Arabidopsis thaliana: one gene and its partner. The protein of the gene in region 1 interacts with the protein of each later gene in a pairwise test. Each region holds a gene or a part of one and is shown in the gene's direction. Other genes may lie near its edges.

Region 1 (5,747 bases):
GACCGCCGTTTACTCTACCGAGTTAAAAACCGGGTTAACCAGGCGGTTAACACCGAGTGGTGTAGCTGATTTCAGCCCGGCGGTATCGCCTTCCGGAAATTTAACGGCTGTGGCTTCATACGGAGAGAGAGGCTGGACAGGGGAAGTTGAAGAGCTACGTACGGACATCTATGTATTCTTGACTCGGGATGGGTCTCACCGTGTCAAGGTGGTGGAGCACGGTGGTTGGCCGTGTTGGGTTGATGAGTCGACTCTGTATTTCCATAGAAGAAGTGAGGAGGATGGTTGGATCAGCGTTTACCGAGCCATCTTACCTGAAAACGGACCGTTGACTACTGAGTCGGTGACAATTCAGCGAGTCACACCACCGGGAGTTCACGCTTTCACACCGGCCACGTCACCAAACAACCACGAGTTCGTTGCGGTAGCTACAAGGAGACCAGGCTCGGATTACCGCCACGTGGAGTTGTTTGATCTAAAGAGGAATGAGTTTATAGAGTTGACTCGTTTGGTGGCGCCAAAGAGTCATCACTTGAATCCATTCTTGTCCCCTGACTCGTCTCGAGTCGGATATCATAGTTGTAGAGGCGATGCTAATGGACGGAGAAGTCCTCTGCTCTTCCTTGAAAATATTCAAACCACTACAAGGGACCTCTCTCTCTTTAGAATTGATGGTTCGTTTCCTTCGTTCTCACCTGGAGGTGATCGTATCGCATACGTTAAGATGCCTGGTGTGTTTGTGGTGAAGCCGGATGGTTCAGGGCAGCGTGAAGTGTACAAGGGAATGGCGTTTTCGACAGCTTGGGATCCGGTTCGACCTGGAATTGTGTACTCTAGCTCAGGTCCAACGTTTGCTACAGAGAGAACAGAGGTTGATGTTATCTCTATTGACGTTGATGCAGCCGATAAGTCATCTTCCGTGAGGAGGCTAACGACAAACGGGAAGAACAATGCTTTCCCTTGGCCATCTCCTGATGGTAAGCGGATAGTGTTTCGTTCGGGGCGGACTGGTCACAAAAACCTCTACATAATGGATGCTGAGAAAGGAGAAAGCGGTGGTCTATGGAGGTTAACCGAAGGTGCGTGGACCGACACAATGTGTAACTGGTCACCGGATGGGGAATGGATCGCGTTTGCATCAGATCGAGAAAGCCCTGGCTCGGGTAGTTTTGAGCTCTTCTTGATCCACCCCAACGGAACAGGGTTAAGGAAGCTCATCCAAAGCGGGACGGGTGGGAGAACAAACCACCCGATCTTCAGCCCGGACAGTAAATCATTAGTCTTCACTTCTGATTATGCTGGAATCTCGGCGGAACCGATCTCGAACCCGCATCATTACCAGCCATACGGTGATATCTTCACGGTGAAATTAGATGGCTCTAATGTGAGGAGGCTAACGCATAACTCTTATGAAGATGGGACACCGGCATGGGCCCCTCGGTTCATCCACCCCAACAATGTGGAGCTACAAAGGAGGAATGATTCTAGGTGCTCGTTCGAAGACTGTCACTGGCTCAACAAGTACCCTACACTAAAAGGCCGAAAAATATCTTGTTAATATGTATCTACAGTTTTGTATCCCAGCTTGTAACTCTACTTATAGATTTGTATGAGACTGCCACTGTATATGCATAAGACTTTGTATTATAGAGATCGTTAATGTGATATGTATATCATATTGTCAAAACAGTCGTGATAAGATATCAAACCCTCTTCTAAATGATAGTCTTGCTATTGCGGTTTGGAATCCTCATGAATTATCCAATGTCAATTCAATCTCAGCGTGATTGAAGACAGGTTTTTAAATTCCAAAATCTCTTCTTTAATCACGTTTATAAATCAGTTTTGATACATTATTACTATGTTTTGCGTACGTGTCAGAAGATTACTATCCATGTAATGTCTGAAGAATTAGGTGCGAGTCAAAAGTCATAACAGTCGATAAGATATCAAACCCTCTTCGTGACTTGGAAGGTTTGAGGCGGGGGCGGGAAAATCCAGAAAACGTCGGATAATGTTTATAAAGGAGTCTCTCCGTCACCGGAGAAAAATTAGAAGAAAAAAGAGGCGAAGAAGAGAGAGGAATGGCGCCAGTTCTTCAGAGCTCACAGCCATGGGTTGAGAAATAGTACGATTTCTTCTCACTGATTTTTTATTTCGTTGACGGAATTTATGTGGGGTTTAATAAACTCATTGTTTCCGATTTGGATCTAGCCGGCCGAAGCAGGTTAAGGACGTGGCTCACCAGGAAGAGGTGGTTCGTGTCCTCACCAACACTCTCCAGACTGCTGACGTAATTTCACTATAACCTCTTTGTTTATCGCGAAACAAATCCCTAATTATTAAAATCTGATTTTGTACAAGTGTGAAAAACCCTAGATGTCGAATTTGGTTCTCAATTCTGGGTTTTAATTTTTTGTTTGTCTCTCTGTTGTAGTGCCCGCACATGCTCTTCTATGGACCACCAGGCACTGGAAAAACCACTACTGCTCTTGCCATCGCTCACCAGCTCTTTGGGTAACGTATTCATTTGATAATTTGTGATAGCTGAAATTCGGATGACTTTTTGATTGATTCATTTGTGTGTACTTAGTTTGTATGAGACCTTGTGATCTCTAATATGATACATTCAGATTTGTGATTCAAATAACTCGGTTTTTTTTTTTTTTTATGTAGAAGCTGATATAATATGCACACTCAGACTCTGTGGTTGCATAATGATATACCAACTTCTCCCATTAGGTAGCTAGACAGTATACCAAGATGTGAATTCATAGGAATAGTAATCATTATGATTTTTCTATGTAAGTGGTTAGTTTTTGAAGCTGAATTGTCTTGTTCTTCTTTCCATTGCCTCCATGGGTGTCGTCCCATATGAGTCGGTTTCAGCTTCTTTTGAGAGTAATAATCACAGATTTATTTTCATGAGCCTGGCCTTGTTTTGTTATTTCATTTTGCTATATTATGTGGATTTTTACAATGGGCATGTGAACTAACTATAGAGTGTTTACAGACCTGAACTATACAAGTCTAGGGTGTTGGAGCTTAATGCAAGTGATGACAGAGGTATTAATGTTGTTCGGACTAAGATCAAGGATTTTGCTGCTGTTGCTGTTGGGTCTAATCATCGTCAAAGGTGTCGTACTTTTTATTAAGTTTTTTTTTTTTTTGGGGTCATTTTCTCGTTTCTGCATTTCATCTAAGACCTTCGATTTGATACTTCAGTGGTTATCCTTGCCCATCGTTTAAGATCATCATCCTAGATGAGGCTGATTCGATGACAGAAGATGCTCAGGTACGTTGAACATCTATTATTCACTACCGCATTTGTACGTTTGATATGTGTTTACCATGAGCTATTTTATTGACTGTCCAGAATGCCTTGAGGCGCACAATGGAAACTTACTCCAAAGTCACCAGATTCTTTTTCATATGTAATTACATCAGCAGGTAATTCTGTCACAACAGCCTTTTATTTTTTTTCCTTCTGTTCTCATTTGTTCTCCAATTTTCTCTCTGGTTATTGAAAATGATTGCTTTTTCGTTTATACTTTTGTTATATTTTGGAACATGCTCATAGTGAGCTACTTGCTGAACTATGAACCTACTGATTTTGATCACCCTTACAAACTTTGATCTCTTGTTCTGTAGGATCATAGAGCCCCTTGCTTCCAGGTGTGCGAAGTTCAGGTTTAAACCACTTTCCGAAGAAGTCATGAGTAACCGTATATTGCATATTTGTAATGAAGAAGGTCTCAGCCTTGATGGAGAGGTATGAGCAAATGCTTCAATGTTTTCCGTATTATTTTAGTTTTGTGAAAGCTGATTATTGTAGCCGTTTCCTATTCAGGCTCTTTCAACTTTGAGCTCCATATCACAAGGTGATCTCCGTAGGGCCATCACATATCTGCAGGTAAGATAAAACTATCTGAAATATTTGTTACTAGACGAAATCGACCATAGAAATGTGAAACACTCTTTCTACCTGAATATTGCAGAGTGCTACTCGGTTGTTTGGATCAACAATAACTTCTACAGATTTACTCAATGTGTCTGGGGTAAGGATGAAGTTAACCCAATATTTGCATAAGTGTATGGTAGGTTCAGCCATGTCAGACTTGCTGATGTTTAATATGGATGTCTAACGAATCTATCAGGTAGTTCCTCTAGAGGTAGTCAATAAACTTTTTACTGCATGCAAAAGTGGTGATTTCGATATTGCAAACAAGGAAGTGGATAACATAGTTGCAGAAGGATATCCTGCATCTCAAATCATCAATCAGGTTTTCTATTTTCCTCTCTTATTTTTACCCCATTTAAGTCATGCAACTGTGGCTATAACCCCTTCTATACAACACTCTTTCAGCTATTCGATATAGTTGCGGAGGCTGACAGTGACATAACAGACATGCAAAAGGCTAAGATCTGCAAATGTTTAGCTGAAACTGATAAGGTAAGACTTTCCCGTACTAATTTTCCTTACTTGTGTCTCTTTTAGAGCCTCAAGTGAGATCAATTACCAACATCTTGACTCAATTATATTACGGGTTTTGAGTGAAGTTCACATCTTAGATTTTTGCCATTTGAATCTGTAGATATGTTGCAATCTTGCTAAGGATGTCTCTGTTACCTCTAGTGATAATAAAATATCTCACATCTTTTATTTTTAATGTATCCAGCGACTTGTAGACGGGGCGGATGAGTACTTGCAGCTTCTGGATGTGGCAAGCAGTACAATTTGTGCCCTCTCAGAAATGGCTCAAGACTTCTAATGCAAATTCTGCTTGAATTGGACCTGTGCCTTAAGACTTATGAGACTATCATAGTGTAGGTTTTGATAAAAAGTTGGAGCGTTATGACGTTTTACTGGTTACTTATCTGTTATTGTTTTAAGAAAAACTATTAGATATATTTATTGCATCATTACTTAAGTCTATTTGTTTTGTGGGTAAGATCATTAAATATCATTACAATGTGAAATACATGATCGAATCAAAATAATTAACATCTCTTATAACCAACAAAATCATGACCAGATAGCTTGATGGACATTGCTTCTGTTGTAAGAATTAGTGAATCCCTTTATCTATATCCAATATTGACACCGTAAAAGGAGTAATGTGTTTCTTTACTAGTTGGATATATATACAGTGTAGATCCCAAAATGTAAATATAAAAATAAAAAATATAGTAGATTTATATAATTATATTTTTCTATTTATTACCTCTAATAATCAAAATAGTAAAATCCTACGAAAATGTAATAAAATACAAGAGGATTAATATACATATCCACATAAAAGGAAGATTCGGATACACATCCAAACTATAGAAAACATTAGTAATGCCATAAATAAATAAAAATGCTGTCAAGACACAAAATTCGTTGAATGTTATAGTCTTCACATAAAACTGTCATAAATCTGGATACGTTCTAAAAATAATTGATCTAATCTAAATCTATAAGTAGTTTCTTATTAGTAGAATCCTTATGAATCTTAATTTGATCAAGACAGAAACGCTTTTGTTTACTTTTACCTAATGGTCGATGGTGACGATTCTTTCAAGAGACCCGGAGCTGTGCCTTTTAAGTGGGAGATCCGACCCGGTGTACCTAAAACCCGACCCGGTGATGATGATCCAGCTCTTCTTCAACCACCTCCTCCTAACAAACTTCCTCCTCTCAAATTAAAATCAACTCCGCCGTCGAATTCGCCATCTCCGTCGTCTTCTTCTTCTTTCTTCTC
Region 2 (4,465 bases), on another chromosome or scaffold:
ATTTGTTTCGAAAACGTTTGATATATTCCTTAAACAACGTAATTTATAAATTCAAATCAAAAAACAGATCTTCAAATTCGACTAAATCTATATATTCGATTCAATTGATTGTCATTGAACAATTAATAAAATTAAATACCCGAATATATCAAGTATATATCTTAACTAACATTATACACAAATATTATTCTAGGTTGTACTTTCCTAAACCCTATATCAAACAATTCACGAACTAGATTACTATAAATATATGGTGAAGAATGCAATTGAAAGTCAACTAAAGAAAAGTGAACAAGCTACACAGGTTCATCAGATATGGAGAGTGGTGAAGAATTTGATAGTAGTTATTATTTTACAAATATAAGAAATAGAATTTATTTACTAATAAAACTTTTTTATTCTAACTATTACAATAGGAATATATTCTGTAAGAACATTGTTTTTTGTTAACTAAATCAACTTTCAGTTATCCAAAAAACACAACCAAACTTTTCAATTAAATCATAATGAATTGTATAAATTAACATTATTCTCTACATTTGTAATAGATCAGACATTAAATAAAATTCAGTTTACCAACATTAAAAATACCAAACAATTAAATGTATAATATTTACGTAAAATATATATACTAATATAAAATTTAATATCACAAAATAAGTACACGTTTTATTTTAACAAAAAAGTTTTAACAAAATTAATTAAACAAAAATACCTACATGTATGTGCGGGTCATGATCTAGTATTCAATAAAAGAACATGAACAAACTCTATATTTACATAAGGAATTTGAATACAACAAGTTTCTCTCATATGTGGCTTTAGAAATTATAAATGAGAGAAATTTAAAATATTCATTTTGGCCTAATACAAATAACAATAAAAATTGTCTACAATGAGAGACTAATTTTCTGATACTTATGTTACTGCGAGATAAATATCTTTTAAATTTGACGACTCTTTACTAGGAATTATACAATCAAACTTATGTAATGGAGCTATATATTTTAATAGTACTCCAAACTTTTAAGTAATATTACATGATTCTACAATATTTAATAAATGTTTAAAAAATATACACCTGATTGAAATAAGTTTCAACAAGAAAAACATGGCTATTTTGTTGGTGTATCAAATTTATTTTAAGCAATCTACATCTCTTTTTAATCTGTTTATTCCTAGATGATAAAGGACAAACAACAATATCAGTTGTACATGGTAAAATAGTCTACCCTCTACGTATACACATAAACGGTTAAAATGAACACAAATTACAATTTAGACCAATGGAAAATCGATTTTACTCAAACACCAACAAACTTTGAACAAAGAACTGTTACACGTAGAACCAAACAATATGATGAAAAGTATTATTAAAATTTAGATCCTTTAGAAATTCACCCTCTTTTGGAATAAATTCATTTTATGCACATTTTTTTTTCTCCGATTATAGGTCTAGCCAAACTATTACTAACTCGGAAAAAAATACAGAAAAAATATTCACAAAAAAAAGAGAATAAACCTATCAAATTTCACCTAGGTGATTTGATAGAAGTCGTATCACCTAGTTTTCCTACTTCTCCAAAAGTTTCAGATTTGAAATAGACAAAGAATATCAAATTTAAATTAGAGAAAAAAATATCTTAAAGGAGAATTTTTATCCAATAAAGTTAAAAATAAAGAAAAATGGTACTTTGACACCTTCAAAGAATTTTTTTTTTAAAGAGAATTATGGTATAAAGATATGAAGTACATATTCTATTTTTTGCATGGTTTGAAATATGTGCTGTAGAAAATAAAATAGATTATCCTTACAAAAATGAATCAATAACATTAGTTCAATAGTATATAATACATGGGAAATGACTATTGAGAAATACAAAAGAATTCATCCACCATTAAAAGATATATGTTGTGACTAGTGCATGGATAGAAAAACAAGAATTTAAAGAAATCAGAAGAATTTATACTTCTTCTCTTTCAGGGAATACAGTTTTCGTCTCAACAAAAAATTCTTTAACAATTCCTGCGGCTGGACTTGGACTGGTTAGAATTGCTCCTTCACGAAATTTGGGGTGAATTTACAAATAAACATAAATAAAGGGAGGTTTCACGAATTTTTAAAAATAAGTATCCTGATCACTAAATATTACAAAACTAAAGAACGTCACACAGATGGTGATCGAACAATACCGACACCTAAACCTCTGTACCACAATTCGACGCAATTCATCGTTACCCAAAAACCTCTGTTTCGATTCCTAGACACTCTCACTAGGGTTTTACAACTATGGCAACGACTCGAATGGTTAGGGTTTCGCAAGATGGTTCGGGAGATTACTGCTCTGTTCAAGACGCAATTGATTCGGTGCCTTTAGGTAACACTTGCAGAACTGTGATTCGTCTCTCACCTGGGATTTATCGGCAACCTGTGTATGTACCCAAGAGGAAGAATTTCATTACCTTCGCCGGAATCTCACCGGAGATCACGGTTTTGACTTGGAACAATACAGCTTCCAAGATTGAGCATCACCAGGTAACGTTTGCTATGTTCTTAGTGTTTTTGGTACGTGTACGGCTCTGATTTGGTTGTTTTGTTTTGCAGGCGTCTAGAGTCATTGGGACTGGTACGTTTGGTTGTGGTAGTGTTATTGTTGAAGGTGAAGATTTTATTGCAGAGAACATTACTTTTGAGAACTCTGCTCCTGAGGTAATCATATAAAGTCTCTTCCTTTATTACTACACAAAGTTTAGAAATTTTACTCAAATTAGTTTAGGGATCTATAAAGTCTCTTCCTTTGTATGTTCTTATTAATGTTCAGATTCAAAGTTTGGAAATTTCTTCTGCTGAGATTAGAATTAAGAGTTGTCTATGGTGATTTTTTATCCTAGTTATGTTATTTGACCACTTTGTATATAGGGATCAGGGCAAGCTGTGGCGATACGAGTCACTGCAGACCGTTGCGCCTTTTATAATTGTCGATTTCTCGGTTGGCAGGTTCGTTTATCAGTCCTTTGATTCAAATGATTTGTGTAAACTTGTGGAAACTTTGTGTTGGTTGTTCATAGTTTAGATGTGGTATATTGCAAGTAGGTTGATCCAATCTTGTTATAGCTTATTTGCAAAATGTGAAATGCAGGATACATTGTATTTACATCATGGGAAACAATATTTGAAAGACTGTTACATCGAGGGAAGTGTGGATTTCATATTTGGAAACAGTACCGCTCTCTTGGAACACTGCCATATCCACTGCAAATCTCAGGGGTTTATAACAGCACAAAGCCGAAAATCGTCTCAGGAATCTACTGGTTATGTATTCTTAAGGTCTGCTTCACAAGGATTACTTACAACTTCTACATTCTTCCAAGGAAACTGAGTTTCTACTAACTTGTTTGCAGATGTGTGATCACGGGTAATGGTCAGAGCGGGTATATGTATCTCGGAAGGCCATGGGGACCATTTGGGAGGGTAGTCCTTGCTTACACTTACATGGACGCGTGTATCAGAAATGTGGGTTGGCATAACTGGGGAAACGCAGAGAACGAGAGAAGTGCTTGCTTTTATGAGTATAGGTACATCATATGACATCTCTTAACTGCAACAAGTGGTAATCACGAAACAGTTTTTTGATATTCTTTTGGATGTAAAATGGTAGGTGCTTTGGTCCGGGTAGCTGTTCGTCTGAACGTGTTCCGTGGTCGAGAGAACTGATGGATGACGAAGCTGGACACTTTGTGCATCATAGTTTTGTAGATCCTGAACAGGACCGGCCTTGGTTGTGTCTAAGAATGGGTGTGAAAACACCATATTCGGCTTAGAGTACTGAAAAAAAATGTTGTAACTGCCATGGTGAGGCCTAGAATAACAAAGGATCATGAAGAACCTATTGTAAACAACCCTAGTATCAAACTTTGGATTATCTTTTGTCCAAGTCAATAAGTGCACTACAAAAGGATCTTCTATAGAAACTATGATTATACACTTCATAGTTTCTTCTTGTTTAACTAAATTGGTAAAATGTTTTGGTTATTTTTTTGTGTAAATAAGATTATATAAAAATGGGCATTTGGTCTAGTGGTATGATTCTCGCTTAGGGTGCGAGAGGTCCCGAGTTCAATTCTCGGAATGCCCCAATTTTTTTCCCACCCAACTAAAACTTCAAGTTTCTACAACACTAGAATTTAGATGTAACTATCTTCTTGATTTGCTTTTACAGATTTTGATAGGTTTGGTGAAGAACATCAAGCAGAAGATTAACAAGAGCTTCACACAGAACAGGTTAAAATAGCATAGAAGATCAATATTAGATTCTCAGATCTATCATAAACAAAATTGCGACCATAGCAATAGAAAGTTGTTCAGTTAGAAATTGGTCAGGCAGGTGAAGAGAAAAAGGCTTCACCTGGTGAGTTTGAAGTACAAGATAAAGATAATGGCGAGGACAAGGACTGTGATTATCGC

Evidence for each region. The genes of interacting proteins can lie anywhere in the genome.
Region 2: the proteins of EMB1968 (region 1) and PME31 interact in binary tests that used the Arabidopsis thaliana proteins (3 or more experiments, as listed by UniProt).

The regions. Positions count from the first base shown.
Region 1 is NC_003070.9:7,613,591-7,619,337, forward strand, and holds EMB1968 (ATPase family associated with various cellular activities (AAA)), read left to right. Parts: upstream 1-2,023; 5' UTR 2,024-2,084; coding exon 2,085-2,128; intron 2,129-2,214; coding exon 2,215-2,293; intron 2,294-2,437; coding exon 2,438-2,517; intron 2,518-3,013; coding exon 3,014-3,136; intron 3,137-3,225; coding exon 3,226-3,295; intron 3,296-3,376; coding exon 3,377-3,450; intron 3,451-3,651; coding exon 3,652-3,772; intron 3,773-3,850; coding exon 3,851-3,913; intron 3,914-3,998; coding exon 3,999-4,058; intron 4,059-4,157; coding exon 4,158-4,283; intron 4,284-4,366; coding exon 4,367-4,453; intron 4,454-4,679; coding exon of another isoform or gene 4,680-4,732; coding exon 4,733-4,831; 3' UTR 4,832-4,976; downstream 4,977-5,747. Other genes in the region: AT1G21680 (DPP6 N-terminal domain-like protein), read left to right, coding at 1-1,558; AT1G21695 (hydroxyproline-rich glycoprotein family protein), read left to right, coding at 5,542-5,747. UniProt on the Arabidopsis thaliana protein: May be involved in DNA replication and thus regulate cell proliferation.
Region 2 is NC_003074.8:11,071,514-11,075,978, forward strand, and holds PME31 (pectin methylesterase 31), read left to right. Parts: upstream 1-2,132; 5' UTR 2,133-2,290; coding exon 2,291-2,536; intron 2,537-2,605; coding exon 2,606-2,710; intron 2,711-2,920; coding exon 2,921-2,998; intron 2,999-3,140; coding exon 3,141-3,328; intron 3,329-3,402; coding exon 3,403-3,576; intron 3,577-3,659; coding exon 3,660-3,822; 3' UTR 3,823-3,965; downstream 3,966-4,465. Other genes in the region: VTI13 (vesicle transport V-snare 13), read right to left, coding at 4,403-4,465. UniProt on the Arabidopsis thaliana protein: Acts in the modification of cell walls via demethylesterification of cell wall pectin. Acts in a blockwise manner, resulting in a cell wall rigidification.